3 linked regions of the Lytechinus pictus genome follow. The protein of the gene in region 2 interacts with the protein of the main gene of each other region in a pairwise test. Links are inferred from orthologs where the notes say so. Each region holds a gene or a part of one and is shown on either strand. Other genes may lie near its edges. The genes, in order: synembryn-A-like, syntenin-1-like and homeobox protein MOX-2-like.

Region 1 (11,314 bases), on a different chromosome or scaffold from region 2:
AAGTCCTTTGGAAGCTAATGCAGACATTTTGCTCTATACAAGAACTGCATATCATTCTCAAAGAAATTTAAAGAACTGATAAAAGATTATCTGCATTTAAATGTAAAGGATAGTAGTTGCAGCAAACAACTATTTCAGGTGAAACTCTTTAAAATCAGGGTTACTTGTCACCAGGGTTGAAAATACACGGGAGCGACGAGCAATTCGGCCCTCGTGTGCTTTGGAATCGCTCTCGTAACTGCCTAAAACTGCCAAGTACTGAGCGACTCCCAACATGAAAATCGCTCCCATCTGCGCCCATCCAGTCTCCCATTTACAACTGCATATTACTGTAGTAGTAGTCTGAGCCAGGCTAGCACAGCCGCAGTTTTTGCTTTCATGCATCGTCGCATTCTGACGTGTAACTGAGTGGATTTTTAAAATCACGGGCGCGGCGCTTCAGAAAAAACGCGTATCAAATTTCAAACTCTCGATATCCCTAGTACTATTTTTCAAAACGCTGCGCGGCACCAGGTCTCGCCGTAACTTTGATAGCAAAAATTTTCCTTTTCTATTGGATTAATTTTGTAAGATACCATCCTAAATTTGCAAAAAAATAAGATAGTGAACTCTGAAGAAAATCACATATTTTATTTTAGAGTAACTTTCGGAAACCCCACTTCTCAAATCTGAACTAAGCCACTTGGTGCTCTGGAAATTTGGCGCAGATCCCACAATTTTCAGACCGAAATTAGGATTTTCTGTGGGGATTTTTGGTGAGTAACATTCAGTGCCCGAGTGTATACATGTATTGGCGCTAATGCAGTTTCATACCCGCCTGTGTTGCGGTGATGATTGACTGTGAGCTGTGTGTTGCGGTGGTGATTGACTGAGAGCTGTGCTATGTTCAGTGGCTGAGCTGCGTTAGCGTAGGCATAGCCTAGCCTAGCTTGAGAAATAGTTGACATGGTGACATTAGCTGTCAGGCTGTGATGCATTCAATATTTCATAAAATAATTTTCAAGTGAGTTTTAGTTAAAGAGTATTCATGAAAAGGATTCCTCTGAATACAAATTCTGTTCAAATGTTATAAACTTCATCCTTTTCAATTTGATGGACAAAATGGGATATTAAAAAAGAAGTTGAAACGTCCATTTAATTTAATATACGAGAAGTAATGAGACACAAACAATAAACATTAGATCTACATGCAAATGGACAACAATAAAGAAAATAATAATTCAACAATTAATAACAATGAAGAAAAAATAAATAGCAATTAAATAAACAATGTTTAACATTATATAAATTTGTAAACAAGCAGGAAAAACTGCGATGCGAAACCATGTGCTGAATCACTCTTAAAAATGGCTCTCGAAAACTGAAAATGGCTCTCCTTTATTTTTCAAAATGGCTCCCTAAAAATAAAAAGTAATTTCAACACTGCTTGTCACCATATTATCATATATCTAGATCTTGAACATTAATGTAAACTTATCTTTGTGAAAATCCTGAAATATTAGCTCAAAATCAATCATTATAATGGTCACAGGGGTATGAGTGGTCACAAATAAAAAGATCTGAAAAAAGGAAGTGAAGAGTGTTGAAAAAGTCTGAAATAGAAAGAGCTTCCATACTTTTTGTACAGAGGAAGGCCAAAAATAAGCTGAAAATTAAGCTTAAAAAAAAAAAAAATCATCTGAAATCAGATAAAAATCTGATCTCCCACACCCCTGTGATCACTAAGCAAATGCGGGACAGTGATATTAATATTACTTGGAAAAACACCCGACATTTGATGGAATTTCATGCTTATTTTGCTCATTTCTCAGCAATTACTCATTTTCTTCCAGAGCCACTTGGCACATATTTTGTATTCATACATACACACTTGGGTGGTAATTTTATTGGATTTCTGTTCGAATTCATTTTGAGATCGTTACCAAAACTGGTATTTATCTTTAATCAGGAAAAGGTACATTGGAAAACCATGGATAGATAAAATAGGCCCGTATTCTGAACTCAGGTTTAAATTAAACCCTGGTTTAAAGTTGTGGTTTAACTATGGAGAGCCAATTGTGCACAAATTCCTTTACAGTACACATTCATTTTATTAACTCACATGACACCCAAATTGTTCATAATTGTCTTGGAATGATAACTGAAGTATATTTCTTCATTATGAAAGCAAAAGGAAAACAAAAAAGAAAACAAGAAATATATAATATAGACAGAATTTTTGAAATGTTTGGTTCCCCATAATTTTAGCACAGAGTTAGACCATGGTCTATAAACCTGACTCCAGAATACGGGCCATAGGGTTATATAAGAAGCATAATTATCGACAATCGGCCTATTTCTTAATAATTTGTTGCTTGGCTTTTATTCCTTTGGGACAGTATTGAGGGAAATAAGAGACATTGTACAAGCATACTATATTGAGGGGAATCAGAGGTTATAGCAGGTGATTATTTGTTTACCTCTTTTGTGAATTCCTGCAGTTTGTTACAGATTTCAGTCTCGTTCCCAGATTCAAAGGCCGGCACAGCCGACACCAGTAGCGTGTTCATCTTGGGACGCTGTTCATATGACGAACTTGCCTTGGAAATACAATGTACTTTGTACCTCTTGAGATGTAACCAGAACTTGCACTTCTTCAAATCTGTTCACTATGGAAGTGGAAAACAAAATAGAAAGAAAACATGATGAGAGTTTGTGCTGTGAACACATATGAAATGTGCATGTCTCTTCCTTATGGCCGAATGCAATCACTGTGCATGCACTTTTTCGAATCTGCTTTTAATCTGGAACTTTGAAAAAAATACAATAAGAAAGTGTTCTTTACCTGTGTATGTACATAATACTGAAAAATTGGTTGACGATCTCTGCACTTTTCTAGTAAATAAGGTAATACAGTCTCACCTTTCTTATCCGGCCTCCCCTTATTCGGATCTATTATCCAGACAGACACTTGCCAAGATTTTTTTTTCAATCTAGTACACGGGGAAATGAGATTTCAATTTAAACTCAAAATTCCTATGCAAACTCACTTTGATTACCGTATATACATTTCCAATATAGTCTACCTACAACCACATTATTTTTTATGAAAATATCTTACCCAAATCACCAAAAGAACTAGACAGGATAATTTTCCAGTAAATCGGGGAGCAGCGCAACCATTTCATCACGTTCACTCCTTTTTTTCCAGGAAAAAAACAAAACATGTCTCACTAGATAGTGCGAGGCCTCGATACAGACAGCGCCATCTATCAATGTTTGAGCCTACAGTCATAACAATGGCTGACTTCCCCAACGTTACGGACGCGAGCGTCGCGTAACGTTGGGGAAGTACAATAAGAAACAAGATGGCGGCGTAAACATCGGGCAAGTCTCTTCCGTCTTTTGACAATATTTTTTCATTTTTTTTGATGAATTCTTGTTTAAAAATAACAACGAGAGCGTAGAAATGTGGGAAATGAAGTTTTATCCCATGTACATGATTTAGAGCTAGATCTTTTAGAAGGAAAGTAGAAATCTCGGGGGCGAAAGTTTCAGGGTTTTTTGCGGTACACGCAGATGAATAGGGAGGACTCCCTGGCTTCGTTTAGAGTAAGCCTACGTTAGTAAATGATTTTTACTCTCAAGAAGCCGCCTGGCTACACTGCACCACCATCATCATCATCATCCTCATCATCATCCCCATCCCATCAGCATCATCATCATCATCATCATCGTCATCCTCCTCATCATCATCACCACCACCAAGTCCAAGACCAAAACACCGACATCAATACAATTGTCAATCATCATCTTCGACTTCGTCATCAACACAATCATCATCCATTGATAAAAATGATAAAATTAATAGAGGCTAGAGCTACCTGGCGATTCAGTTTCTGTCCGTCCTGATCCTGTGCTGTGCAATTCGAATCAAGACAATCATGAGTCATGACAATAATTTTAAATAATACTCAAATTAATAGATGATTCGTTGTGGACGAACACAATAGCACTGCCATATTGCATGTACAAGTTTAACAACATGATAATATCCCGCATTCCATTACGATTACGGGCCGCGCCGGTAGCCTACCGGCCTAACACCGCCGACGTGACGCGAGTCACCCCCGAGTGCCGGGCCAGGTAGATCTACCACAAGACATCGATGGTTGAGCCGCGGGTTTGCGTGCAGTCGATTCTCGACCATTTTGCCTTTTGGGGGGACATGATTGCCTTGTTGGCATTATCAGTTTCATTATTTCTCAACTAAACTTACCTCACGCTGTTCTGAACATCTAATTTGGGGTATTTGAAAGACACTGATCTCACTAACAGCTCATCAGGCACAACGGAAAAATAGATGGCTCGTCAACAGGATCAACATCAAAGAAATTTCATGTCGATCGACTGTTCTGATTTTGCATCACACAATATAGTTTGTATTGACATCCCTTATCTAGTTCTATTTTGTGTAATTAATGATTTTTGAAACACTTGATTTTGGGGGTAACATGGGACACCCCGGGCCCGGGGTGCAATCCCCCCCCCCCCCCCCCCTCAGTGTTATTTAGGGTACGCCTATGCTAGTTCCCTCCCTTTGAAAGCACCCCCCTATCGAAGGTCGGCCAAAATTTCTGAACCCGGCCTCAGTTCGAGGGCTTTTCGCTGCATGGCCTTTTCTGCTGTGGAGACCCCCCTAAATCCAGAACACTGCTCAATGTACCCCCTATCTCAGGTGAGCTCTCATTCCAACAAAAGGTTCGTACTTTACTTTTTCAAAATGAAATAATCCTGAATGAGCCTTCAAAACTAGCAGGAATTTCAGAATTTGATCCCGGGATTTGATCAAATTTTCTATGATATTCAAGATATTTTACAACCGTTTAACCCCCTTTAAAATTTCTCAGGGTTCCAAAGAGAGAGTCAGAGAGATAAAAAAAAACACCCCCTTTTTGAAGAAATCTCCGGTGAAAATACAAAAACATCCCCTTTTTTACAATTCGCGGGCCGGACTTGTCCCGGGAAAAAGGGCCCTTTACCGGACATTTTGGGAACACGCATGCGGTCCTTCCGACCTCGGATTGGGGGGGGGGGGGGGGGGGGGGTGCACATCAAGAGGTGGTCAAATTGGACATAAAATGGGGGTGAAATGGGACGACCACAAAATAATCAGTAAACGCACTTCGGAGATTGATGATATAACAAACAATTTTGAACGAAGATATAAGACAAAAAGGGATGATTTTGTGACAGAAGGCCCTTTACAAACTCTAACAGTTAGTTGGTTGAGGAAAAAAAAACATAGTCGCAGAACATTTTAAAGTTTTCCCTCTATAATGAATTGCATACACCATTCTCTCCTCAGTTTCTTCCTGAAAGTTCCTTTTTAATATAGTAACAGGTAGGGTTAGTCTGGTCTATTAAAGATATCATCTAATAGATGATCTACATTTATTCTTAACATTTTCTTATATGACAACTAAATTAACATTTTAACATTGGTAAATTTATTACTAATATGAAAATTCAACCAATTTGATTATTATATGAGCTGAATTTCTACCGCACTGATTCATTTCCAAACTTTTCTTTCATTTCCCCCCTCTCTTTTTTCATTTGAAGATTGCACTTCTGCAATTAATGAGCATACAATTGGTCAAACGTTGTAAACACCGTTTTGAAGAACACAAACAACACTAAAACAACTGTTGCATGCAAGAACACTCAACAATAAGAGCAAGTCAAAATATGATATGATAAATAAAATATGATAACAATATTCTCTCATAAAATCATTGTTTCCTTGCAGTGGCGGACCGTGACCCGAGGAGACAAAGCATGGGAGGGGCACTGTATTGTAAGTGAACAATATGCTGTGCCCAGTGGCGTACCTAGGATTTTCCACAGGGGGGGGGCAAAACCGTCCGCCAAAAAAAAAAAAAAAAAAAAAAGGTCTTCGATCATAAATAAAGGATTTCGTTCCAGAAAAAAATTGACAAGCAAAAAAAAAAAAAAAAAAAAAAAAAAAAAAAAAAAAAAAAGGTCTTCAAGCTCGTCAGGGGGCATTAAAGGTCTTAAAGCTCGTCAGGGGGGGCAAAAAAGGTTTTTCAAGTCCGTCAGGGGGGGCAAAGATACGTTTTTGCATGGGTTGTGACTCGTCAGGGGGGGCAGAGTGCCCCCCTGCCCCCCCCCCCCCCCGTAGGTACGCTAGTGGCTGTGCCCCTCCAACGCTTTGTCTCCTCCGGGTCACGGTCCGCCACTGTTTCCTTGAATATTAAATGTAAATTTGCTATGAGACGTGCCTGTAATTTAAAAAAAACAGTTATCTCTCACAGTCACATGTATAAGTTTTATGATTGCATTTTAACATTGCATGTACCTGTTTTGCAATATTCCCTAACTGGATGCGATGTACTTTTTCTTTTCCTGTCTCTCTCTCCCCCTTTTTTCTCCTTTTTATCTCTTTCTCTGTCTTTTTACTCTCTTGCCTCTTTCTCCTTTTCTATGGTTTTCCTTTCATCAATGCATCAAACTCCCAATTGCTTCATTCACTATGGACAACGTTGTATTGTAAATCAGTATTGCAAATCATTAATGTTATATTTTTGTATTTCTCCTTTTTATTTGGTGTCTGACCAGTTTTCACTATTGATGCTTACCTTTTTTTTCCTTCTATATATGTATATCTTGTTTACTTAGTTAACTTATGATTAGATATGATGTCCTTTCAGTTTCTGTCTGACTTTTCTATTTCTCTCTTTCTGTCTTTCTCCCTCCTTCTCTCTCTATCTCCTTGTTGCTCTTTCCCACTCTCTCGTCTATTATGATTGCCATCATGTCATTTTTTTTTTTTTTTTTTTTTTTTTTTTTACACATAATTCTTATATTTTTTAATCTGCAATTTATTGTTTACTTGTGGGTCTTTCTTGTTTTCCTCCTTCATTCCTTTTTTCCCTCTTTATCTTTTGCTACACCACTCTCTACTCTCACCTTTTCACATGCTCACTCTTGCCATTCTTGCTCCCCTTTCTTGCTCCTCACCTGCTTTTTTATATATACAAATTAAATCTGTCTTATTACATGCAACTCCTCATTCTATTTCTTTTTATACTATTATTGCATTCTAAACATAATGTATATTTTTTTCTTCTTTAATGGTCACTGCATGTTATGTATTTATTTATTTCTTTGTTATGTATTTTAAAAAATGTAAACTCACATTGTTAGTCCTCGGACTTTTTGATGAGTATTGCTTAATAAAACCGAATTGAATTTGAATTTGAATCTGGATCGTATTAACACTCTTTACACAATCCTTTAAGAGCTCAATTTTATTCAAACAAAATTCTGTGAGTATAAAATGACAAAATGTTGTGAGCTTTTCTGGCTCGTCGACACAAAGCGGCAAATCAGACTGACATTTTCCCTCCTTGAAAAAACATAATTATTTGTAAAACAATGAAAAAAAAAATTCTGACATAACATGTGAGTATCACACAGCAGAAATGAACAAGTCACATTATGAAAACATTCAATATTTTTTCCTACACATAATCCTATCCCATGAGGTATATACGTGTAAATTTGAGGGGGTGGGGAACTTCCTCTTTTGAAAAGGGCACTTAATTAAAACAAAGAATTAACATCCTAGGCATAGTGTGCAATAAAGATGAAGATGAGGATGTCTATTTCACAGTGATGGAATTTGTAGTAGAACTTACATGAACTGGGGAAATGGAACAGTGTGTCCCATTTCTCCCTCTTATTCAGTAATAAAAAATAAAAATGGCAGTCACTGTTTCTAAACTGTCGTTTATCAAACAATTATCTTCAGAAGTTTGCACACTTATTCAGTTACTAAATAGCATAATAAAGGTCCTACCAGATCGATGTGATATACTTGATATTTTACTCACATGCAATTAACGATGAAAAAGAAAAAGGGGTATATAAAAAGAAACTCGTTTATAACTTACCTGTAGAGCTATAGAGTAGCTGATATATCCGTTTGGAGCTATGCCTAGGCACACCTTTTTACTGATGTAACCGGATTGCTGATTGGCTGATTATTTTACAAGTTACAAGAGTGTCCCCTTTCTGCTCCCCCTAACGTTATATACTTTTTTTGTATTAAGTAGTTTTTATTGACAACTTCAATTCATATACAAAATAAAATATATATAACAAATAGAAGTTTGATGTCTTTACAAAATTGATAAATACCTTGACAACTTATAAATTTAACATCATTTTTTTTCTTGAATGTTACAATAAAACACAATCATGTCACACATCTTCTAAAACATAATTATAAATAACATTGATAATAATAATATGCATTAAGAATAAACTTCTACAATAAATTCAACATATTGAATTTTCAGTGTCAAATACACAAAAATAAATCATTAATAAATAAAACGAATTGAAGCCATCAGCATATTTTTTTTAAAAAACCCATTGCCTCAGCCTCTTCACTCAAATAAAATAAATCTCAACAACAAACTCAGCCCTGGACCCTACCCCCCTCCCCCGACCCTCCCCAAAACACCCCCATCCCCTATCCGGTGGAGAGCTGGCTCGGGCTCCAATAAATGGTCTAGTAATTAAGTTTTTCCATTTAGAGAAATGGATTGTAAGAGTCCCCCTCTTTGTTGCTAAATTCTTTTCTTCTCTTTGATCCCCCCTAATACTATTTTTTATTTCAATCAATGAAGGAGGTTTTTTTAATTCTCGGTTTTTGTAAATAAGATATTTAAAGGACAAGTCCACCCCAATAAAAAGTTGATTTGAATAAAAAGAGAAAAATCCGACAAACATAACACTGAAAAGTTATGAGATTTTAAAGTTTCGCTTAATTTCACAAAATAGTTATATGCACATCCTGGTCGGTATGCAAATGAGGAGACTGATGACATCATCCACTCACTATTTCTTTTGTATTTTATTATGTGAAATATGAAATATTCTAATTTTCTCCCCATTGTCAAGTGAAACAAAGACTAATTTTCTCTGAACGTGTGGGATTAGCATTGTTTAATATTATATGGTTCAGTCAAGTTGGTCCTTATTGTCAAATCTGTAAAAAATGAAATATTGTCTAATTCAAACAATAAAAAACAAAAGAAATAGTGAGTGAGGGACATCATCGACTGTCTAATTTGCATGTCACTGAGTTGTGCATATCACTGTTTTGTGAAAAATAAACGAAACTTTAAAAGGTCATAACTTTCTTATTTAACATCCAATGTTGATGAAATTTTCAGCGTTATGCTAGTTTGATTTTTTTATATTTATTCGAATCTTTATTTTTCTGGGATGGACTTGACCTTTAGCTAAAATCAAAACATGATTAATTAATTGATATTTACCTTTACTTTTCTCCTGCTTCCCGAAAAGAATTTCCTGCCAACTAAATTTATTCATTTCAAAATTTAAACTTCTTGCACACATATCCCAAAGTGATTTTGAAAATTCACAAGTATAAAATAGATGTTTATACGTTTCTTCTTCATTTTCACAAAATGAGCATAAATTGGTCGAAACAAGACCAAAACGGAAAAGGTGGTGGTTAGTGTATATAATATTATGCAAGAGTTTATACTGAAACTCCCTTAATCGACTATTCAGTGTGCAATATCTTAGTCTTAAAAATATACTTTCTACTTCCTTATTGGTAAGATCATAATTCGTTCTAATTTTGTCGAAAATAGAGGGTTTAATGTCACTTTTATTCAACAGCTGTTCGTATATTTCTTTTGATTTTAAAAGCATTAAATTAGTTGTTTTCTTACCCAAATTGAAATCGATTCCAGAATTATGCTTTGCATTTATTACGATATTGTTCTTCCAACTAACTATACTGCGTGGATCGATCGATCGACCACGCAAGGTCCAAGTGGCTACTAAACAAATTTTTAAGTACTGTCTTATAGAAAATTATTATCATATAGAAAAAGTGAGGCAATGTTAACGCTGCTTTCAAAACAACCCCATACCCAGGGCCATTTCAAAGACGAGCCCCCCCCCCCCCTCCCTCCATTACAGTTTACACCCCGGCCCCTGACAGGTCCATGCTCTAATGCTAATAAATGGGCTTTCATGACGTCGCGTCGATGTATCGGATTTGTAAAATCCGGATATTACCGTATGCGGAATCGTCCGGGTCAGAATCCGGGGCATGATCCACGATGACGACTTTGCGTTTTTGCTGGAGAATCATCGTCTAAAATAAAAGGTAAACAGTAATTTAACTACCTCAGTGTAAAATTTATTGATAAATGAACTCTATAAGCTTCTCCTTTTCATGTTCGGCTGTTTTATTGTCAATCTGTGGAATATCTTGGTAATTATCGTTTGCTGGGCCGGGTGATATTTTAGTGTTTGTGAAATGTCTGATCGCAAGAAGAAGGGTGATCGTGAGCGATTTATTCAGTGTGCAATGAGAATACATTTATCAAGGAGTCGTGATGTGGCAAATTTAATTTGTGTGAGAAGGAAAATGCGCGTCCTGGTAAATAGGAGTGTACCTCCTATTTGCAGTCTGCGAGCACCCTGTCTGGGCTGTGTTGCTGTTGACGACGTGAGAAGTTGAGTCAACTCAGTCAAGTTTATGCAACATACATCTACAGAAATTTGTCTTTTTCTAATAAATTCTATGTTCTTAAAATTAAGTTAAATTATGCTTGGTCCTGGTCCTGGATCGATATGTTTTTGAACTTTTTCATTGGCATTGCCATTGACGCCATTGCAGATTTTTTCATGACGTTGTCGTGTCGTCTTTTGACTTTGTTGTCGTTAATTCCACTTGTCCAGGTGTTGAGAAACGGACCCCCATAGATAGCTACAACCACGAACGGTTGAGGGCGCTGCGCACAAACGGCGCTCTTTTTGCATGGCGCATTTTGCCGCCGATATGCTGTGATCGCCGGCTGGAGCCGGGTGCATGAGCAAATGCAAGGGGTGAATGAATCTACTCTAATTTCTAAAGTAATTCACCCTATGGGTATAATATGTACACAAATCTCTACATGAATACATACGTCACCATCTACGATCACTGAGCCGTCCGAACCGAAGACTTTTGTCAGTCAAACTTGCCTGGAAAGTCAGTGGTAAGTACAATTTCCCGTTGAATTTTCGTAATTCTCGACGATTTCCACTGAAATGCGATATATATCCAACAAGATAGAAGTGAAAACGTGGTATTTTATTGAAGCTGAATTCATTTCAGATCTGATTTTCCTTTCCGTTATGTCGCAAGACTTAGCCGTTTTAAAATATGGAATTTGGAAGTTGGGCTTCCCCGGGCCGTCTGGCTCGGATTTTCATG
Region 2 (10,976 bases):
ACCATCCAATGGTAACTTCCCTGAAATCCTTGATTCCGATTGGCTGATTAGCATTGGTGATTGTTACCATTGTAATTACCATTGGATGGCAAAGTTACTACTTTTATGCAATTGGACCATGGGGCCTTTATCACAAATACAACTGTGGTAACTGCTGAGCCCCTTTACTAGTCTGCATGCACAGACCCTGTTTGAAACTTTGATCAACAAGTGGCTCTGCAGACAAAGACTAGCCTATATAAATTCTTCCTGTTTCAATTCTGAGCGAGAGGGCCTTCAGTACACAAGGCATTGTAGGCTTTGCATTCAGACCCCTCATCTGGAGTGAAGGGTTTGCGCAGCAGACTACCCTGTTACCATGGTAGTTGTGATAATTTCAATTTCAAATTTTAAATTCTTATGAAACAGGCTCCGTGGGTGTTTATCTGTTTCTATACTCTGAATGACTGTACCATGAAATAGATGCCAAATGTTTTCTTTGACTTTATACAACATATAATTTTATTTTCTTACTCTTTATTAAATTTGTCTTTTTTTTTAATAGTAAATCACGTCATCTTGACCCTCACTAATGTTTTCAAATGCTGTCTTACAAATGTTGTAAATTCATGCATACCAGGTATATGATGCAGTGTTTAAATTTTATACAGTCAGGCATCTTTTTCTATTGATAAAACAGTATGGCATATAATGTCCGTTTAGTGACTTTAAAAAGTTTTTTTTTTCACTTTCCCAAACTAATGGTTGACAGTACTTTATATCAATAAAGACATAATGTGGAACAATGATCCAAAGAGAAACATTGGTAATATTACTCAGTTACTTTGTAACAGTACTTTGTGCTTTCATATAACTCCATTTTATAATAAATATAATAAATATTAATGCTTTTATCCAGTAGAAGCAGTGTACAGTGAAGTATTCATAATATTCATAGTAATAATATTCTGCTTTGAACTTAATTCTTCAGTCTTACAAAGAATTGCGGTAGACTTGAATCATACTCTAATTGTGATTGATCTAGGTTTTTCATATTTTAAGTACATAATTTAAGATTAATTTCAGTTACAGTTTGATTTGGATCTATCACTCTTTGTAAGACAGGGAGCAGGGCCCTGTCTTACAAAGGGTTGCGATTGATCCGATCAATCTTAACCGTGGAAAGCCAGCAACGTCAGCATTTTATAAATGCATGTTTGTTTAAAATAATTTCTAGATATAATGTATATTCATAAATTCATTGTTTTCTTGACAATTTGGAGTTTTCCCCTTTGTTTACAAAGGACATTTTGCAAATTTCCTGTAGAAAAATTATGACAATGATGGATTTCCATAGAGATACAATTGATTGGATCAATTGTAACTCTTTGTAAGACGGACCAGGGCCCTGTCTTACAAAGGGTTGCAATTGATTCGATCAACCACAACTACGGTAAGCCAGCAATGCCAACATCTAAAATGCATGTTTGTTCAAAATGTTTTTCAGATATGATGTATGCTCATACATTCATTGTCTTGACAGTTTGATGTGCTCCTCTTTGTTTACAAGAGGACATTGAGCAAATTTCCTATAAGAAAAATTATGGATTTCCGTGTAGTTGAGGTTCGGTTGATCGGATAGATTGCTACTCTTTGTAAGAAGAGACCCAGGCCTACATCTCTAACTGTAATCGGGGGTGATGTCAGGATTTTTCTAATTGGGGGGAGGGGGGAAGACGGAATAAAAATGGCGTCATATTTTTTTCTCGGTTGAATTATCGGGTACAGTTTTATACATGTAGAGTTACGCTTCCTGTACCTCTCCTTTTAATACCCTTCTCCCTTCTTTCTTCCTGTTCTTCCTCCTCTTTTTTTCCTCTCCTTTTTTGTCACTTGTTTTCACTACTTGAAAACTTTGTGTTTGGTCGCCTCATCTGCCCCCCTCTCCTCCATGTTGCACAATCCTTGACTGAAACCAAAACTGTAAAGTTTCATCTACAAGGGCTATTATTATTCAACTCAGAGAAAGTTTACCTCTTGCATACTCAGACTATTAATAACAATGGTAATAAACATACATTTGTATAGTGCAGCCTTTATATGAATATATTATAATGTTTGATATCAAGAACATAAAAATACATAGTATTTAGGCCTGTAGCCAGGCTTTTCTATTAGAGGGTTCAATCACTTTTCTCTTCTTTTCTCCTTTTCCTCCCAATTATTCTTGCTTTTGAATTTTTTTGGGGGATTTATCGAACCCCCCTGCTACAGGCTTGGTGTTGTATATTTAAAACAATTATAATATTTATTGAATTATGTGTACATTTTTTGGCAATAACTTGTTTCCATAGAGGTGGTGGATATGACACCTTCAAGAGAAAGCTAGTGATTTGTTAATACCATTGACAGGTAACTTTACCAAAGTCAAATCTTTTAGAACCACCGGAATAAGCCAGTTCGTAGTTCCTTTCTGCGCATGATCAAAATATTCTACGCATGATCAGAGGAAGGTCATTTGTACTAAAGTGACATGGTGGTTTAAAATTTAATGAGATAAGCACCAACTTTGATGTCTTGATTATTCATATATTCTTTTGAATTGTGGTTTTCATTTACATCCAGAAAAAACAACAATGCGTCCACGAACGACTGGTATTTCACAGTTTGCCAAGTACATTGTGCAACATGCTATGATACGCATTCAAAGTAGGAATGCAACAAATACCTTCATAAAGTATTCATTGGTGTGCTATTCTAGTCACCTGGTCTATTCAATTTCTTCATCCTGCTATGTAAGGCAAGCTTACGTAATATCTTGCTTTAAAATCTGCCTATCATAATGAAAGAAATGAAAGGTCATTTGACCAAAATTGTCCATGAAGTACATGTAACTACGAACTGGTCTATTGTAACTCGGAAGAAGTATGAAAGATGATTATCTAGTCTAAATTATTGCTAAATCATCAGTGAAAGTCTCTTAAAGAAGGCTATTCTATAAAACAAGCATAAGGGAAGGGCATTTTAGGTGTGAACACCAGTGGACCAACATTCTTTCTAATATTAATATAAAGTATGTCTTTGTATTTGTGTCGGCTTCCATTTACCTTTCCCAGATGTTTTTGTGTATTTCAAATAATAACTTTATTTCAAATAAAGTCAGTTTGAGAATGATATTCTTCTATCTATTAAGTAAATTATATGTGATGTGTTTGTGTTGTCACTTCTAAAGTCTTTCAAAATGACATTTGTATGGTGATAAAGATATTGAATAGAAGTGTAATTGGATGTTTCATGAGAGAATACAATCATATAAAAACATACAATTTTGTAACTCCAATGGCTTATAAGGTCATATAATTATTAATTAGACTTTGTCAAATGTGCATTCTTAAAACAGTAAAGGTTATTCGTTAAAACATATAACAAAATTTGATGAATTAAAAGATAGTGGATTTGATGTCTCGAACATAGTGCAACATGAAATTTGAAGAATAAAACATTATTTGGAGTGCTCTATGTCCAAGTTAAGCGTTCTGTATGAAGCAGTCTATTTGCCATTGTCTAACTCTGTACAAATTAACCCAAACAAATATTCTCACTGGTTCTGGAAAATAAATGAGTGTTATTGTACCAGTACTCATTTTAACAATCATAATCATGTTTACATGTACACCTTTCCATGTTCCCAAATAGTGTTCTTTATGATAATATGTGAAATAATTGTTTGTGATTATGGTGTAAATGCTTGCTTTTTATTTTCATAGATCGATTATTGTTCTTAGAGAGTGAATATTTACTCAGACATCAATATAGATTTTCTTAAAAGTAGGTTGGATCCACATTTTAATGATTTTTTTCTTACAGTATATGGCTATATTGTACTTGCACAAAAAGTTACCTCACAAAAGGGGCTAGTTCCCCTTTTATGTGATTGTGATATCAGATTTTTTGTCTTTGTTTTTGTGTTTTGAACATGTGAGATGAACAATGAAAGCTCTTCAAAGTTCCATTTTCTTTTGTATTGTAGGATGGGGCAATCACATACCATGCAACGGGCCCCTGGGGCCCGTTGCAGAAAGAGTTGTAATCAATTGCAACTTGATTTTCAACCAATCAACAGCGCTCATTTGGGACTTGCGATTGATTTTTTGACTTGCGTTTAAACGCAACTCTTTCTGCAACGGACCCCAGGGCCCCGTCTTACAAAGAGTTACGATTGATCCAATCACCCGTAACTCTATGGAAATCCAACTGAGTCATAATTTTTTCTACAGGAAATTTGCAAAATTTGCAAAATGTCCTTTGCAAACACACCAAATTGTCAAGAAAACAATGAATATACATCATATCTAGAAAATGTTTTGAACAAACATGCATTTTAGACCCTGTTGCTGGATTTCCATAGTTGTGGTTGATTGGGTCAGTGGCAATTCTTTGTGAGACGGGGCCCAGTAGACATGTAGTGTAGGCCTGTGTGGGGCTGATGTTTTCATTTCAGTAAAGACTGAACTCGGTTGCTTTTGTAAGCAAAGTCAGAATCTCTTTTTGAAATGGTTGTTTGTTTTAGGAAAGACGGCATTATCTTGGATATAGGCATTGCTTTTTGGAGTCACTAGATATTGATATGTATTTATTTGAAAATGATCCCATACCCCTTACCGCATACATTCGTAATTCCGAAGCTTCGTTATTCCGAAGGTTCGGATATTCCGAAGGTTCGTTATTCCGAAGGCTCGTATTTCCGAAGGTTCGTAATTCCGAAGGTTCGTTAATCCGAAAACGAAATGAGGTTCGTAATTCCGAAGGTTCGTTAGTCCGAAAACTAATGATTAACGAACCTTATTTCGTTTTCGGACTAACGAACCTTCGGAACATCGAACCTGATTTCGTTTTTGGATTATCGAACCTTCGGAATAACGCCACAAATGTTCGGATTAACGAACCCTTTTACGTTTTCGGATTAACGAACATCGAGGTATATGCAATTTACGTGTTTCGGAATTACGAACCGTCGGAATAAAGAACCTTCGGAATTACGAAGTGTAACCACCCCTTACATCAATATATATATTGTCATTTTCATTACCATATTATGGGTAATATAATAAACTTGTGATGACAGATATTGTGTTTGGTGCTATTCATTTGATTTGATTTATTTATTTCCACATTCCAATAACAAAAGTATATACAAGTGTAATCATTTTTTCTTAGCATAACATAACAATAAGCAAATGACATAATGAATAACATATGCATATATACATTCTAATAATCTAACTGAAATAAATTTATACCTGGTAAATTTCTTTTTTAAAAAATTATTTAAACAAATAGCAGAAAAAAATTATATATATACTTATATCGACATAACACATTTTGAAATGTGGGAGACCTTCATCTTAAGCTTAGAGCTTGAAATTGATAAAGGCCTCATAATGGTGTATTATGTCTAAAACATGTGTGTACTTTCCATAAGAAATGTGGGAAAAGCTTTTTCATGGGGGGGGGGGGGGGGGGGGGGGCTCACACTCTGTCCAATTAACATGAACAAAAACATCAAAACTACAATTATTTGGATGTTTATATATAGCCCCCTTACATATGGCTCAACCCCCGGCCCCCACAATTAAAAAATAATGTCCAAAAGAACCTACGACTGATATGGTCTTGAAAATGTTGAAATGCAATAAAGAAAAATGATATTACACCTTCACTTAGTACTCCATAAATGTATGATAGATATGTAAGATAGGCCTACATGTATGACACTGAAAAAAAGAGGAACTTAATATTGTTGAATATTTTAACAAAAAAATTTAGATCCTAATTCATAGAGAAATATAGAAATGTACGTCTGTTAGAGGAACTGGCAATTTAACTGTTGAAGTGTTAATAAAGTAAAAATCATTTTACTTTTAAAACTTCAACACCAATTGTCTATATGGTTTTCAAGACATGCAAAATGAACTTATTTTTCTAAGGATCGGAATTCACATTGGAAGTTTGTGTGAATTTGAAAAAAAAGGCTGGTATATAATCTTTTTTTAAGGTGACCAGTCACCAGTGCCCATATCTTCCCCCTCTCAGTTGATTGTAGATAGTTCTAGCCCAGAGTTCAATTCAATTATTTTTTTTTCTATTCAATTATTTTATTTTATTTTCCACTTTCAATTTCATATTTACAATTATGATACAATTGACATAGTAACATATAATCACATTCGAAGTACATACAAAGTTGATAACATTATAAAATTACAATAGACAATTATCAAATCGAAATATAAATAATTGAAAGGGAGGGAGAGTTTTAGCTTTAGGAATCAGTTTGTACTATTGTAGCGGTTACAACGTTTGCTTTTCTATTCTTAGTGCTTAAAATTTACATGTATTATTAGGTTAAAATTCGACCCCACCCGCTTCTAAAATAAAAATCAGGACCCGTGATTTCAGACCTACATGTATTTTATTTGGGCAGCGATGAGAACTTCATTATTATCACAAATCCAAAAATAATAGTATGACATCATCACCATCATCATCATCAGCTGACCCTGACGTCATGAGCGCATTACAGGAAAAATATAAAGTGGATGCGATTTTGCAACTGACGATACAACAGAGCCGAATTTTTAGCAACAAGTTAAAAGTACTATTATTCCGCTTCAAGTTTGCCAAAAAGGGTAATTTTGTTTTCTTTTCCTGCCGACTAAATTATCTGAGCAAGTAGATTTGTTACAGCCGAATTATGAGCCTGAACTAGAGTCGGTCGCTGCTGGCCATAGCGCGGCGTTGAGTACGAGTGGCAGCTGGGTCACTTCCCCGGCCGCGCCGGCCAGGCGCGGGCTGGGGCACAGGCCTTGCAAAGGCTTTTGCCCAAGGCCTGGCTGGCTGGCTTGAGCCTTGACTTGAAAGTTGAATGACGGTGACTGAGTGATATTGCACTGTCTTCAGTCTTTACTTGTTTATATCACCACCAGGTTAGGGCCATGGGAACTCTGCAGCAGAGCCCAGGAGCTGGATCCAAGGCCGAGCACATTTGAACAATGTAATTGGTAATAAACAGATAAACGTGATTCGACTCTCGAGCTTAGGCTTAGCTGAAAGTGAAACGGATCCAGATTCAATCAGACAAAGGTCAAAGCAAAGCAAGCCGGCAAAGCTCTTGTCCCGGAATTAAAAAAAACAAAATGAGAAAAATATCACTCACATTTCGGTCTCTTCTGACACAGGTATGTGGATGCGTATCTTAATTCTTATGCATACATCATGTGCAGGATCAGGAATCGTGGGATTGCCTGTGTGTCTTTCCTTGCACAAAGCTCAAAAGAACATGAAAGAAGGGAATTCTTTCTGTTTTAATTCCCACATCAATATCTCGTGCGCTCGCATCAACACTACTAAAGTTAGTACTCGTACTACTAGCCTGTAGTGAGTTAGCCAATCAGCCATTCTACATGTAATGGATAGGGGTAAAGAGTCAATCTAATTTTGTTTTACTTTATATGTTGACGATTCCACAGTTCAGTTATTTAGATCATTGCATATTTTACTATTTTACTCTGAATATTTCATGTTTTATTGTTTTATTGATTTTTTAAATTTTTTTATAAATGTTTTATTGTTTTTAAATCTCACTGAATTTTACCTGCTACCATATACCATCTCTAAGTGATATGATTGGAACTGATATAGTTGGAACTGAGCTGAAGATAGCGGTTTGTTTTTGGTGAAGACTTGTTTATATGCCATTTTGACAAGAGTTACGACAAACTTTTGTACATACTATAATTATCCTTTTTCATATAAGAAGGATGCACAAATTTTTTTTTTCATATATGTATACATCATATTGGTAATAATATCATTATGTGAGAAGTGAGATTTTTTATTATTAATAGAGTCAATGGCGACAATAGTCAAATATGACTAATCGCCACTCAAACCAACATAAGAAGAAGAAGAAGATGTGATGTGGTGTGTACTAGCTTTGATGAACATGATCTCTTCCTTTTCTCCTTCTGGTTTTGCCTCCTTTTCTCTCTCTTGTCCATTCTCTCCACTTCCTTACACCTTCATGACTTCCATTTTCATTCCTCTAGTTTCCTTCTTTCATTTTACTCACCTACATGTACCACTTCATTCTTCTTTTTCTCTGGACACTGTCACTATTTTCTTTCTAAGATCACATAGATCTATTCTAGTTTACATATTTAAGTTTGTGTATCATTTAGAAAATGTTACGATACTTTGTATGAAAACTTTATATGTAACTTGCATGTTTGTAAAATTGATCACAATTCTTTTAATAATTCTATCTATCTGTGACAGAAAGAGGGGAGAGAGAGAGAGATGGAGAGAGGCAGGCCTTAATGACAAAGATGAGGACAATAGAGGGCTCGGGGGAGGGGGGAGGATGAGTGAATAGGGATGCTGGATGGAGACGAGGGAGCCGGGAGAGAGATTGCAAGAGTTAAACATGGCAAAGCTTGAAATGCATACAACGTTTTGGCAAAGAGAAGAAATACACTGAGATATTGAGGTCCAAATGATTTTTTTTTTGGGGGGGAGGGGGTCATCACACATCTAGTAGAGTAGAGTAAATAAGGCCACATTTTTCATAATTCCAGTTATGTCTTTGTAATACCATTCAGCTATCTTTGACTCACTATTACCTGTAAATATCTGAGAACAGTAGATTCGGTCCACTGAATCTAATTGTTCTCTTTTTTTATGGTGAGTCACAGATAGCTGACTGGTAGTGTACATAGTTATATATAGTTTTTTATTGTAGTAAATACACACCAAACAGCAATAAGACCATAAGAATCAACATTTATGGATTTAGCTAGAGGGATTAGATTAATTACTAATAGACTACCTGCTTCATAAGCAAGTGAATATTTGACTTAAAGGGATGCTCCAGGGAGTCCGGGCTTAGAATATTTATATCTAAATAAATAGAGTGAAATTCACAGAGCAAAATGCTGAAAATTTCATCAAAATCGGATAACAAATAACAAAGTTATTGAATTTTGAAGTTAAGCAATATTTTGTGAAAACAGCTACATGCACGTCGTCATGAATATTCATTAGGTGAGCTGATGATGTCACATCCCCACATTCCTTTTTCTTTAATATGTTATTACATGAAATCATGTGTAAATGATACTGTGTCTCCATAAGTTGCAGCAATAAATAACTAATAATGCACTTAATCAGTTGTCAGTCCAATTGTTTTAGTTCTCGGTATAAAGATTTTTGATAAACCTAATTTCATATAATAAAATACAAAGAACAAGTGGGGATATGACGTCATCAGCCCACCTAATGAATATTCATGAAGACAAGCCTAGAACTGTTTCACTGGAATAATGCAAATTTTTAAAATTCAATAACTTTGTTATTTCAGCATTGCTTTAAATTGCATCTTGATTTGAATTACCAATAAGTAATAATAGCTTGCAAATTATACAGTGATTTAAAACAAAATCCCAAATGAATTCCAGCCTGCTCTCCGTGCACAGGAACTTGGGTTTCATCACCATTGTACTCGTAATTAGGCATGCTGCACAAAATTTGTCATATTTTCTATCATAGTGGAGCGTTGTGGCCCAGTGGATTAGTCTCCGGACTTTGAAACAGAGGGTCGTGGGTTTGAATCCCAGCCATGGCGTAATTTCCTTTGGCAAGAAATTTATCCACAATGTGCTGCACTCGACCCAGGTGAGATGAATGGGTACCCGGTAGGAATTATTCCTTGAACGCTTTAGCACCTATTAATGTGGCTGCTCAGCTATAGCCGGGTTAATAATATGATACCAAGTATCAAAGCGCAGTTGAGTATGCACATATATGTAGTAACTGCGCTATATAAATCGTCTGTCATATTATTATGTGGTGATTTTATAAAATTTTGGTACCTCATGGGTGGGGGCTGGGGGGGTGCACCTGACCCTCATACATACATGTAGAGGCTGTTGCATAATATTTGAAATTTGGGAAAGGGGGTGGGGACCATCCCCCCTGATTTCTGCCCATGTTGGCTATTTTAGTGTGGCTATGTTGGTGTACGCATTGTGTGCATGCATGCGCACTTATGCCTGCAGCACGCATGACGACACTGAAATTACTGTATCATTGTATAATTTGTAATAATTTCAAAGAATATGGTTTATATCATGATCATGAGAAAAAATCAAGTTCTTTGGTCTAGCTACATTGCCTCTACATGTAGGTCATATTTGGCGCTGTACATGTATATCTCTGTTTTTAATCTAAGAATTTCATGCAGTGATATACAAATGTACTTGTAAAAATTACAATTCCATTACACCATATTGTATTGCGTAAAATGGCAAATCATTCATTTTGTTCTTTTTTCAAGTATCACATTCATAAAGCGGCTAAGATCCCATTACAAATTGCACTTGAGTGTGAATATTATGTTTTGTGCTGTGAACTATGATTCAAGAGTCCACTGATCCAATAACATTGTGTGGGTGTGTGTATCAAGACCGGTAGGATTTCCTCTTTCACTCAAATACCATTTCCTTCCAATGAAATCATGCATTATTGAATTCACTCTGTCATGCTGAATTACTGATTTTGTCTGCTAAGTACAGGAAGAAGATTATCAATTCATTCGTATGAATTAGCTTGTTTTTTGAAGAATAATAACCAATTACATAGTGGAAGTAGTCACTATTCTTGTTCTTTTTGTGTATATACACACCTTAATTCTCCTTGTACTCAAGGAATTCTATGAGAGACAGTGTACATTACATGAACCTGTATTTTGTACTCTCATTTTCCCTCATTTCCCCCTAAAATATGCTGCCTATCTGACAATATGACAACAGAGTTTTCTATTCATGTATGTATTTTACACTGTTCACGTTCTTGCGACAGTAGAGTTTTACTTTAAATAATACATTGAAATAAAAATTAAAGGAGAAAGTCACCCAAATACAATGACCAAGTACATATTT
Region 3 (11,756 bases), on a different chromosome or scaffold from region 2:
ATCTCTCATCGCTTTACTTATATCATGTTTTGTTTGCAAGCCTCTATATCACTCGGAGAGAAAAGAAAGGGATGGGGGTATATATCATGCGCAATCAGCTCGGGCTTACACAGACATTTCGTTGGCGATTATCTTTGTTCGTCTGTATTTTCATGTAATAGATAAAATACCAAGGTGGTGCGTCACAATCTTCATGATGTTTAGTGAAGAATTATTATTTACCTCGAGTTACCTGATGTTGGGCATAAGGTATATAGAACACTTATTACCCCATCTGTATCTCATATGAACTTGTCAAATAATAATGATAACCAATTTTGGTATAATTTCATGTCCCCGCCTAACTGTATTATGATTATATAGGCCTATGTTAGATGCACAATTACTTCTATATTATATACTTGTCGTTTTCATGGTTTTAGTAAAATGCGCAAAAGGCATAAACGTCAAACGGCCATTATAATAGCAGATATTCCATCCATCCATCAGCCTTTCTATCTATCTATCTATCTATCTATCTATCTATCTATCTATCTATCTATCTATCTATCTATCTATCTATCTATCTATCTACCTACCTACCTAGCTATCTATCTATCCATCTATTTATCTATATGTCTGTCTGTCTGTCTCTATCTATCTATCTATTTATCTATCTATCTAGTCTTTCTATTTAGGAAGGCTAACCAAATATGTGAGTGTCCGATCGATACAATTTTTTTTGTCAAAATCAACAAACTTATTGATTAGTTAGTGTCTACCAAAATCTTTGGTTTATATTGACCATTACTTTGACTAATTCTCTTTAATATTCTATAATTATATATAAATTATTTATAGGCCTATACATTTCCATTCATCTACCTATCCATATCAATCATCATGAATTACGAAAAAGTTGGAAACAATATTGATATGCAGATTAAGAATTTCCAGGAAATCGAAGGATTCCACCTCCAACAACGTGGACGGTTTTTGTTCGAGAGGTCAAAGTGTTAACGCAGTTTTTCCTCTTGATAACCGGTATGAAATAATATTGTTTAAGAGATGCTCCACTTGGGATTGTTAATCATAGGAGCTCAAGCAAGGAAACATTAGAAAGAACAAGCGATTTCCTCAGCGTCTCGGGCTAAACTACCACAGGAACTAAACGCGTATTGACCTTGGTTTTTAATAAACTTTGATTAAAATTTGGTAAAAGTAGGAAATATATAGCTTTGATGCTTTGGTTTGTTTCCGTATATGACCGGACGAAATCTGTATGAGATAAGGTTCATATCTAAATATATATTTTTCTTTTCGTGAGAATATTTTCTTCTTAAAGGAAAAAGTCTATAGTATTATTATTATGATAAGTCATTTCGAACCATTTCTCAGTAGATTAAAACTTTATTTTTTAAGTCATTATGAGTCAATAAATGTTGAAATTCTGCTTGAACTAAATGCATGAAAGAAAATATCATATCTTATTTTACATCATAATTGCCTCAGACGTTAAAAATAGTCCATATGATTTTCTCGGGAGGGGGTGTTATCGATAGGATAATCATCTATCTGTTTCCTCAGCATATGTATTATGAAAAAACGTCATTGTACGACAATTTTCTATTTCAATCTTTATTATTACGAATCGATATAGAAATGCCTATCTTACTCTACTTATTTCTGATTTTTATATATCTTGTGCATCATCCTTCACATTACTTCCCCGACATTCCATTTGGATTATAATATTTCGAATGACTATTATTACACGACTTGTCCGACATCGCATCGCTGATATCACGTGCACACGTGGCTTAATTAAGAGCATCACTTACTCATATTTGCTGACTGAAGTGAAATGATGGAGACAAAAATAAGCCGCGGGGATAGGATGTTCAGAAAACCATGACGAAATTCAAATCTTATTTACATGTGAAGGACATAGTGGCCGTATGCCTGTGTTGCTCATAGTGTAGTAGGATGGTATTTTAACGTATAATCCTTCACAGTCATGGTCTTCATACATACACTTACGAGTTCATTGGATTAGCATGATTAATAATAACAAGCAACATTTTTTTTATATAGCGCTTAAAGGGATATTCCATGCTGAAGTATAATTTAAACAGATAAAGAAAAATCAGACAAACAAAACACTGAAAATTTGATCGAAATCGGACAAGGAATAACGAAATTATGTCATTTCAAAGTTTTTCATTTTCCAGTGAAACAGTTCTAGGCATGTCTTCATGAATATTCAATGAGCAAATTGATGATGTCATATCCCATCTTGTTCTTTTATTTTAGTCATCATCATTAGCACATAATTGTTCTCTTGGAGCTCCGAAATAGAACATGGAAGGCAGACCACATTTCAATTTGATTTCAGTCTTTTAGATTACGCACGAAATATTTCTATAATAATTGTTTGGCTTGCCATAGCTCTTGGTTTGATCCCGATTTTTTATAGTTAAAAGAACAATGGTAAATATCGCCGTTCACCTTGCATACACACACTGACTTTACCGCCGCCCCCCCCCCCCCTCCCCCCTCCATCCCCATTTTCGTCCACCCATGCAGTTTGAAAACAATATATCTGTTTTATCATGACGACTTTGGATGAGGCGGAGCGCGAGGTTTGTGAGAGAGGAGAAAGATCTTGGGAGTGATTCATGAGGCGAATAGTCCGAGATATTCACTGACCATTGTTATAAGCTACGGATATCCTTGCATCTGACTGGCTCATTGCAAATTTGTCAGTGACAATAGTGACAATTCACTGATTATTTGCTTCATGAAACTGCTCCCCTGAAGACGGACGGGCAACAGATGGATGGATGACTGGATGATCCGGTCGATTGGGAGTGCATGAGGCCGGGAATGAGAGATGAAGAGAGAGAAAGATGGAGAGAGAGAGAGAAGGAAGAGGTGAACAGAGAAGAAGAAGAACGTATAGAAGAAGCAATGGTGGTAATAAGAAATACAAGAATACGGTGATGGTGGTTGTAGTGATGGTGGTGGTAGTGGTGGTGGTGGTGGTGGTGGTGGTGATGATGATGATGATGATAATGATGATGATGATAGTGATGATGATGATGAAGAAGAAGAAGAAGATGAAGAGGAAAAAAGAAGGAGGAGGAGAAGAAGAAGAAGAATAAAAAGAAAAAGAGGAGGAAGAAGAAGAAGAAAATTAAGAATAAGAGGAAGAAGAAGAAGAAAAAGAACAAGACGGTGGAGGAGGAGGAAAAGGGTGAGGAAAGTGAGAGACAGAGAAATTTCAGTAGGATTGAGAAAGGACAAACGGAAAGATAGAGGTCGATTATTTAATATCGGAAGAAGGAAGAAAGAGAGAGGGGGAGAGGTTGGGAATAGAACAGGAGTAAAGTGAAGGGGGTATTCAGAAAGGATGGTGGGTGAGAGAGAGAGGGAGAGATGAAGACAGGATGATCTGTGATGAAAGGTGAGCAGGTGAATACCCATCTCCTCCTCGGCTGTGATTCACTGGTGACGAATATCGCTTTGGATGGCGATACAAATTTGTTTCCAGGCATCGGGTTGCCTGACGAACCCGACCGCCTGCGTGGCTTGCTTTCTACTGCAGATGTGTTTCAAACGCAGGTTATGTCAGCCAAACCATAGCAGGATCCATGGCCAAACCACGGACCGAACCTACAACAAACCAAGAAGAAAAATTCTTTTAGTAGGATATATACAGTGAATTTGGCACGTTGCTAGGTCGGTCGTAGTACGAAACTAAAATGGATGCGAGGGTTTGGATCTTCACCAAGGGGTACAACTTTGCTCCCCTTGTAAGGACCCCATTGCTAGGTCGGTATATACAAAACTCATACATTAAAGAACCTTTTATATTATACCTTTTCCTGTCCATTGGCAAATGACACCAGTCAAGGACAAGTCCTCCCCAACATTGGTATGCAAATGAGGAGACTGATGACGTCATCCACTCACTATTTCTTTCGTCTTTTATCATATGAAATATGAAAATTTAATATTCCAATTTCCCCTCATTGTCATGTGAAACAAAGTTTCATTCCTCTCAGAACATGTGGAATTACCATTGTTAAAACATTTTATGGTGCTGTCAAGTTGATCCTCATTGTCAAATCTGTAAAAAAATGAAATATTCTATTATTCAAAAAAAAAAAAGAAATAGTGAGTGACGGACATCATCGTCTGTCTCATTTGCATGTCACTGAGTTCTGCATATCACTGTTTTGTGAAAAATAAGCGTAACTTTAAAAAGTCATAACTTTCTTACTTTACATCTGATTTTGATGAAATTTTCAGCGTTATGCTAGTTTGATTTTCTCTATTCAAATCAACATTTTTCTGGGTTGGACTTGACCTTTATATTATGTTGAATAATGCAGCTACCTGCAGTGACTGTCCTGCACCCATAGATAAAAGTGCAAACATGTTCCCTAGTTTCAGTTCCAGTGTTTGAAAGGTGCTCTCTCTTTCACTCTTTTAAATTTTATGTAACATATTTGGGTCAAGTACTACTTTAATATGAATGAAAACATACATGAATTCTTGTTGAATAAGGACATTTCTTTATAATTATTGAACCAGCTTAAATACAACAGGTACATGTCAATACTACACATACATGTATGTCATGCGACAGCTAGGTATTATATCGACTTTTATTTGATAAAAAATTACATTGCACGGTATCCTATACCCTTTTTACACACGCTATAGGTGGGGCTAAATTGCCATTTAGCCCCACCTATAGTACGGGGTTAAGCTTAGCCCACTTTCTTTTTACACAGCATTTTTGCAAAGTGGGCTAACCCCACCTTTAGTACGGGATTATTTGGCCCTGCAAAAAAGCAGGGTTATCCCAGCAATTGCGGTGCTAAGAGCGATAGTACGGGGTTAAGATCGCTAGTGAAAACGAAAGTGGGCTAAGCTTAACCCCGTACTATAGGTGGGGCTAAATGGCAATGATTAGTATATTATATATATATATATATATATTGTTTTTTGCATTAAGTCTTATTTATTGAAGGAAACCTTCAATAACAAGCTTTGCTTTCCAGAAGGTTCCTATTTCATTTCAAAATGTTATATTATATTTTGCTTTACTTTGTAACTTTGTTGAAATTTTGGAATGAATAAATTCGTTGTCAATCAATCAATAGTACGGGGTTAAGGACATTTTAGCGTGTGTAAAAAGGTACGAGTGAATGAGCTACCACTAGTCCGGGGTTAGCGAGTTTCGTGTGTGAAAAGCAAGCATTCCTTATCCGGGGTTAGCAATAACAATTTGGCATGTGTGAAAAGGAAAAAAAAATAGTACGGGGTTAAGGATAGTACGGGGTTAGCGATAGTCCGGGGCTAAGAAAATCCTGTGTAAAAAGGGTACTATATGACCGCGTTTATAATATTTGATATAAAATAATATTGCACGGCATCCTATATGACCGCGTAATATATTGATGACTATTACACGATACTTCAAGCTATAGTATAGACCTACGCTATGACATCGTGATGTGAGATATCCCCTTTGTGTATAATGATACTCGGTGTCATCTGCATACTTGTCAATCATTATTTTTCTCATATTGCATGGTAAGAAGTGTGATATGGAACGCGGCGAGTCTTTATCTTCTCAACACTTAAAACTCGACCCATTTCTCTTCTCTACAACTACCATCCCCTTCACCCATAGAACATGGTTGAATTCGATTTATGGTTCGATACAACTTACAAGGGAGTTAACCAATAACTGTTATTTTTGTCAAAGGACTCGAAGTTAAGTTTGCATTTCCCTTTTTTTTATTAAAAAGTTATTTGATTGGTTGATTCATTTCATATACGCGTTTATTCTTTCATTCCATTACTTGATGTTTCATAATACATTTATCTTACTTTGAATGTATTAAAAAGATATTAATTCGTGTTTATTTTTTCACTTGTTTCCTAATTGTCCATTCGCAGAGATCGCTGGGCGGATCAGGCATGTCACTACCAAGCATGCCCTACCATCACTCGGCCACATCAGGGGGTGTACATCACCCCCATCACCAAGCACCCTCCCACCACACCCAATTCCAGGACTGGAGCTCGGCCGCTTCGGCAGCAGGGTCACGTGGTCTCCACTCCGGGGGCGTGGCCCCTCACACACCGACTTACCGCATCTACCCCCCTGCGGCGCACCACACTCCGACACACTCCGATTACATCTCCCCACACGACTTGGACCTCATCAAGTCATCGGGGACCGGCATCGGTGGCGGCGGCGGTGGGGGAGGAGGAGGAGGATCGCCCCCTGTGACCGCGTCCAGTCCGCCAATCGTGTCGCCCACGGCACTGGGGCACCACCAGCAAACGACAAACTGTGCGGATGATCTCACGATAAAAGGCAGCCCAGATAGTAATGGTAGGTTTTAGTTCTTCTGGTCGATTACATATAGGCCTACAATTTCCTATATTAGAAAATTGCCTTGGAAAATTACCCTCTCGAAAATGATATCTATGGGGACAGTTATAGAGTGGGGTGTCGAACAGATAGTAACTATAAGTAAAATGTATGCATAGAGCTATAGCTCTATGATGGATGCATATAAATTGCCTGAAAATGAATTAAATGATGATTTTCAGATTGTTTTCAAGTTCTTATCATCTTGAAATTGATTGACAGCATGCATATCTATTCTACAGGGATGTTGTTTTCTACACGTCGTAATGATCATTGTCTCCATGTTGTTCAGTTGCGTGCAATTAGTAACCTCATGGGACATTCTCATTCTAACGAGTTGTAAATCAGTATCCCAACAAAATATAGGCCATTAGAATCCCGTGACTTGTGTTTTAATTGAGCGATATAACGTTTAGGAGCGACCACGAATCCCTATGGCTATGACATTTTACATACTATGATTTTAAAGGAAAAAAAACGACAAAAGCAAATAACCCTAAGGAGACAAAGAATAAACAGAAAAAACTCTCTCTTTCGGGCCCAATTAATATATCTTGATTATTTTCAGATCAGCGAATTATATTGATCTACGTCAGATAACAGAAAAAACCGAGAATTTTCCAGTGTTTTATCTGCCAGAAGAATAAGCGGGGGTGGAGGATTATTAGAGCTTATGTTTGGAATAATGAATTATATAATCTTTCTGACTTCAACGAACGTTTCATGAAATTTTACGATATGTGATTAAGATCCAATCCTCCTATTACGATTTTATTATCCAAACAAAATCTGCCCTTGATATACCCACGTACAACATGAATCTTGGTAAAATTTTCAGGACCACCTGTTCCTCTACTAAGTGAATGCGGAAAGGAAGTCGGAACATGGTAGTAAAAATATATCTTAAAAAAAACAGCTCTCAGTGGAGATCGTGTAATCTCTAAAGTTCCAATTCCCGCGAGATCTGACAAGACCGTCTCTGATTGGTCAGATATTACATCACTAGCTGCGCACAAGGGTTTAAAGTAGCGCACCTGTCATCTCGTGTCAAGATTATGAAATTACACGTCGTAAAGTCTGTTCCACAGCGATAAAACATCCACCGATAAGTGCATCAGATTTAAGCATAAAAATGATCAATTTCGCTGAGAACTGTTTATAGTAAGCACATTTGGTTACGTTGGTAGTTGGTGTTACTCTTTTATTGATAAAATACCCCAAATCATCTGCAAGTTAACTCAAATTTCGAATGCTCAACATAATTATTGTTGATAATAAATTTATGATTGTATTTCAATTTTATATAACGAACCCTCAATTGAAATCAGAACCGTATCTCGGTTTTATAGGCCCAACTATATGGAAACGTCGCATATATTATAAACACAACGATTAAACATTATTAATTAATTTAGACTATTTTGCAATAAAATCCTTCTTACACTTTGTTTTCATTTTAAGATAGATTGAACTTTCTAATCCGTGTTTTGTGGACTGTCGATGTGGCTTAAAATATTCCCTACTCCGCCCACGAAATAGGATTTGGAAATAAAGAAAATAAGTTTAGAATGAAAGAGAGAGGGGGTGAGAAGGGGGCTGGGGCGATGTGAGGGAGAGAAAAAAAAGAAACCGGATTGGCAAAAAAGCCCCAAACTTCTCCAATTGCCAACAGAAGTTTCAATTTCACCCGTGGTTATCGGGCCGAGATAAATCATCAGACATTTCATCATAATAATGGAAATGATATGAAATTAAAGTGAAGGGAAAAGGAGATGGAGATGAAAAATGAGTTGTCCAGCTCAGTGTCACAGTCAATAGTCGTTGGATATGAAGAAATATAGCCCAGACTATGAACCGTAGCCAAGGGTTACGATCCGAGAACATACCGGAGCAAATTTTTAACGAGTCCCTCAACGATTTGGGTTAAAGCACCTATAGCATAATATTAATATCCTTTCTGAGAAATCTTGCCTTCCCTGTAGTATAAAACACTGCGTGAATGGAGTAGAAATCAATGAAATATGGTTTTTAAAATAATGAACATAATGTTGAAATGGAGGGAGACAAATTAAATTAATGGGCTATGAACTAATGGTTTTTTTTTAGATTTGGATTTATTGATGTCGTCAGCTCCATTTGATGAGCTAAAATCATGACAATCAAATCCGACTTATTGAAATCTATTTATTTTGAATGATATTAAAGTGATCACAATAGTAAGGGCATACTCAGAGCATGCTTTGACATGCTGGATGTTTTTTTTTTTTTTGCTTTCAGTATATCCGTGGAACTACTCAGAGTAGTAGGTCCATGGTATATTGGATCCTTTAACTTCTGGCTGGAGATGTGCCCTTAGTTTTGTCGTCAGTCATAACTCATCCCATTCGACCTGAACGATACCGACCCTCTGCACCCGTTAATCATAAATGCTATCCCAGCCCCCCCCCCCCCTCCTCCACCCATCCTCTTCCATATTTTTCCCCTCATCTCAATCCCCAATTCGGTCAGAGAATAATTGGGGCGCATTCCCCTCTGATTTTCTATTACCTGGATTTCTGACATCTTATTTCCATGTTTTTGCGTTCATTTCTTTCCAAAGGAGACGACACGATGTTAGATTAATGACGTTGAGAGGGAATAGTTTATCATGAGATGTATAAATCAGAAATAGCGAGGGGAAGTCGTATGTGATGACAGCCTGTGAGGAGCATTGAACGTGCTCTGGTGTTCATAAACCATCCGTATCTATGGACTTGATCTGATTGTAATTCATCACGAAAGTCAAAACAACCGAGTACATTAATTGAAATACTATAGTAAAACATAGCTTTTTTTCAATTTAAACTGACTGTTTTCGTGACGAAGATTTGGTTAGGGGCGAGTATGGGGCTTTGCCGCTTTTCACGACTTGCTTGTAGTCAATCTGCTTTGTCAGTTCTATTCTTTGTATTATGATTTCGATTTTAATAATCCACCGCCATGGTGTTATACCAGATGAACCCCCTCCCCTAAAGGACTGAAGACTCCAATCGAAATTACATAGAACATTAAACATCCGATCTTCGTTTGTTGACAGTGGTTTTGAATGTAGGGGGTTTCTTGTTTGTCTTACTGTTTATGATAGTGGTTGGAGTCGAAACTAAACCTCGAAACCATTATTACAACTTTTGACCGTGACTAAAATAAAACTCATGATGTGGACGCGGTCCCATATGATTTTAAAAATCAGACAAGCATCGACCCCTATATGGTCGACGTTTAAATCATTAGGAATATTTACGACTCGCGGATGGACGGACTAGCGGTTGACCACTACACGAACCTAAGCAGAAAATTGCTTATGATGGTATACAGGGTCAGCAAATTATAAATACCCGGTAGTGCAAAAGTGCCCTTCACATCATCAAGGGTATAGGTCCTAAAAATTTCATTCGGTCGCTTAGGACGCTTTGTTCCCTCGCACAATGGAGGTGCTCACACTCAAACCTCTCCCCATTTGAAGTGAAATGTCGGACTGAAATGCTTATCTATTACACCATGTTCGGCAGTTTGGGTCAAATGCATTTTACTTATGAAAACTTATTTATTAATTTTCTAAAATAATTCTCTGTTGTAAATTGAAATTTTAAGTTTATTGGTAAAAAAAAGAACCCAAGGCAAATACTTTCTTGACCGCGACATGTTCGCACACAAGAACTTTAATTCTCTTGGATGTATTTGTATACTGTGTTTGGGGGTTTCAAATACCAAATTAAATTTGATTTTTAAAATCAGAATTTCCTTTTGCTTGTTACATGTTTCGCTCCCTCGACCTTCCCCTCATAACTGTAATTAATGTAACGACTTATTTATTGTATGGATTTTTTTTCTCCATTACTCGAGCTCATCCCATACTACATAGGAGCCAGCTATATGCATGGGGCGTGGGCATAATAGGACTGTGCTTGCACAATAATACCGCTCAGACCTGCTGGTTGAAACCTAGAATTAAAAGCAGATGATGATTTCAAGGATGTTATCGATGACGGACAACTAATCATGTCCAAATAATGTTATACGGATGACCCACCGACCCGTGACGATGCACGGAGAATGTTCTGCCTCCATGGTCATCGCGCTGACCATCATCCATCCCGTCATCATGCTCGGGTTGATTGATGTATTGCGTAAGAAGACCGTGCATTATTTCGACATCATTATAACATCGTGTTGACATCAACTGCGCGTTCAGCCGTGCCGGCGATGTCCATCAAGCGAAGCGGACCGAACGGCGCGTGTCCCAGTCCGACCACGGTATGATGCATGTACACGCCATCGTGACCGTGTTGAAAAGTAACCAAACATCGTCAATGGTAAATTCTCCGTTTGAGACAATACAGGTATTACGCTTACAAGAACGTTGGACAATGAGTAGCCAATATAATGCATTTTGAATGGAGTTACTATATCGAGCATGATTCCAAAGATAAAATAACGATAATGTAATAGCAACAATAATAATGATGATGATGATGATGATAATGATACTTCTACTACTACTACTTACTACTACTAGTACTATACTACTACTACTATGACTTCTACTACTACTACTACTACTATACTACTACTACTACTACTACTACTACTACTACTACTACTACTACTACTACTACTACTACTACTACTATAATACTACTACTACTACTACTACTACTACTACTACTACTACTACTACTACTACTACTACTACTAATACTACTATTACTACTATTACTACTACTACTACTAATACTACTACTAATAATACTACTAATAATAATATTAACAATAATAATAATGAAGATACTATTATTATTCCACTTGTAACAAAGCACGTTATAAAACTATACATCAAAATAATACTAATGATATTATTTTTATCAATCATGATGATGATTAACATCAAATAAATATAAAGCCATATTGAACCAATTCTACTTATGAAATAGCAAGTTATTAGGGCATATATAATTATTAGTAATATTCTACCTTATTGGTAATATGATAAAGTAATTGTACCAGATCGCGGAATGGGGTGGGACGGGGAAGGGGTGGTAGGAGTCACCAGTTAAGGAGTACCGCTTCCCGCGAGTTCCGTCTGCATAGATATTGGTAGAAATAATGGAAGGGAAAGGGGGTCGAAATGACCCGTTCCATGGCAATGCAAATAGGACGGTTATTGTTTTAGGCATTGACAACACGTCATGTCGGGCGTTTGTTTTAGCCCATTTCACACAAGGCTCGAGCCCGACATCGCCCGAGGTGATAAGATCATCAAACGGTCATTGAGACAAGCACG

Evidence for each region.
Region 1: the proteins of syntenin-1-like (region 2) and synembryn-A-like interact in binary tests that used the Homo sapiens proteins (3 or more experiments, as listed by UniProt). The link is inferred for Lytechinus pictus from reciprocal best matches to the Homo sapiens genes SDCBP and RIC8A.
Region 3: the proteins of syntenin-1-like (region 2) and homeobox protein MOX-2-like interact in a two-hybrid assay, tested with the Homo sapiens proteins (2 studies listed by BioGRID and IntAct). The link is inferred for Lytechinus pictus from reciprocal best matches to the Homo sapiens genes SDCBP and MEOX2.

The regions. Positions count from the first base shown.
Region 1 is NC_087253.1:23,114,301-23,125,614, reverse strand, and holds the start of synembryn-A-like, read right to left. Parts: upstream 4,669-11,314; 5' UTR 4,259-4,668; intron 2,649-4,258; 5' UTR 2,550-2,648; coding exon 2,460-2,549; intron 1-2,459.
Region 2 is NC_087261.1:15,772,794-15,783,769, reverse strand, and holds the start of syntenin-1-like, read left to right. Parts: upstream 1-6,500; 5' UTR 6,501-6,668; exon of another isoform or gene 6,669-7,217; intron 7,218-10,976. UniProt on the Homo sapiens protein: Multifunctional adapter protein involved in diverse array of functions including trafficking of transmembrane proteins, neuro and immunomodulation, exosome biogenesis, and tumorigenesis.
Region 3 is NC_087247.1:6,712,051-6,723,806, reverse strand, and holds the start of homeobox protein MOX-2-like, read left to right. Parts: upstream 1-5,957; 5' UTR 5,958-5,976; coding exon 5,977-6,397; intron 6,398-11,756. UniProt on the Homo sapiens protein: Mesodermal transcription factor that plays a key role in somitogenesis and somitogenesis and limb muscle differentiation. Required during limb development for normal appendicular muscle formation and for the normal regulation of myogenic genes.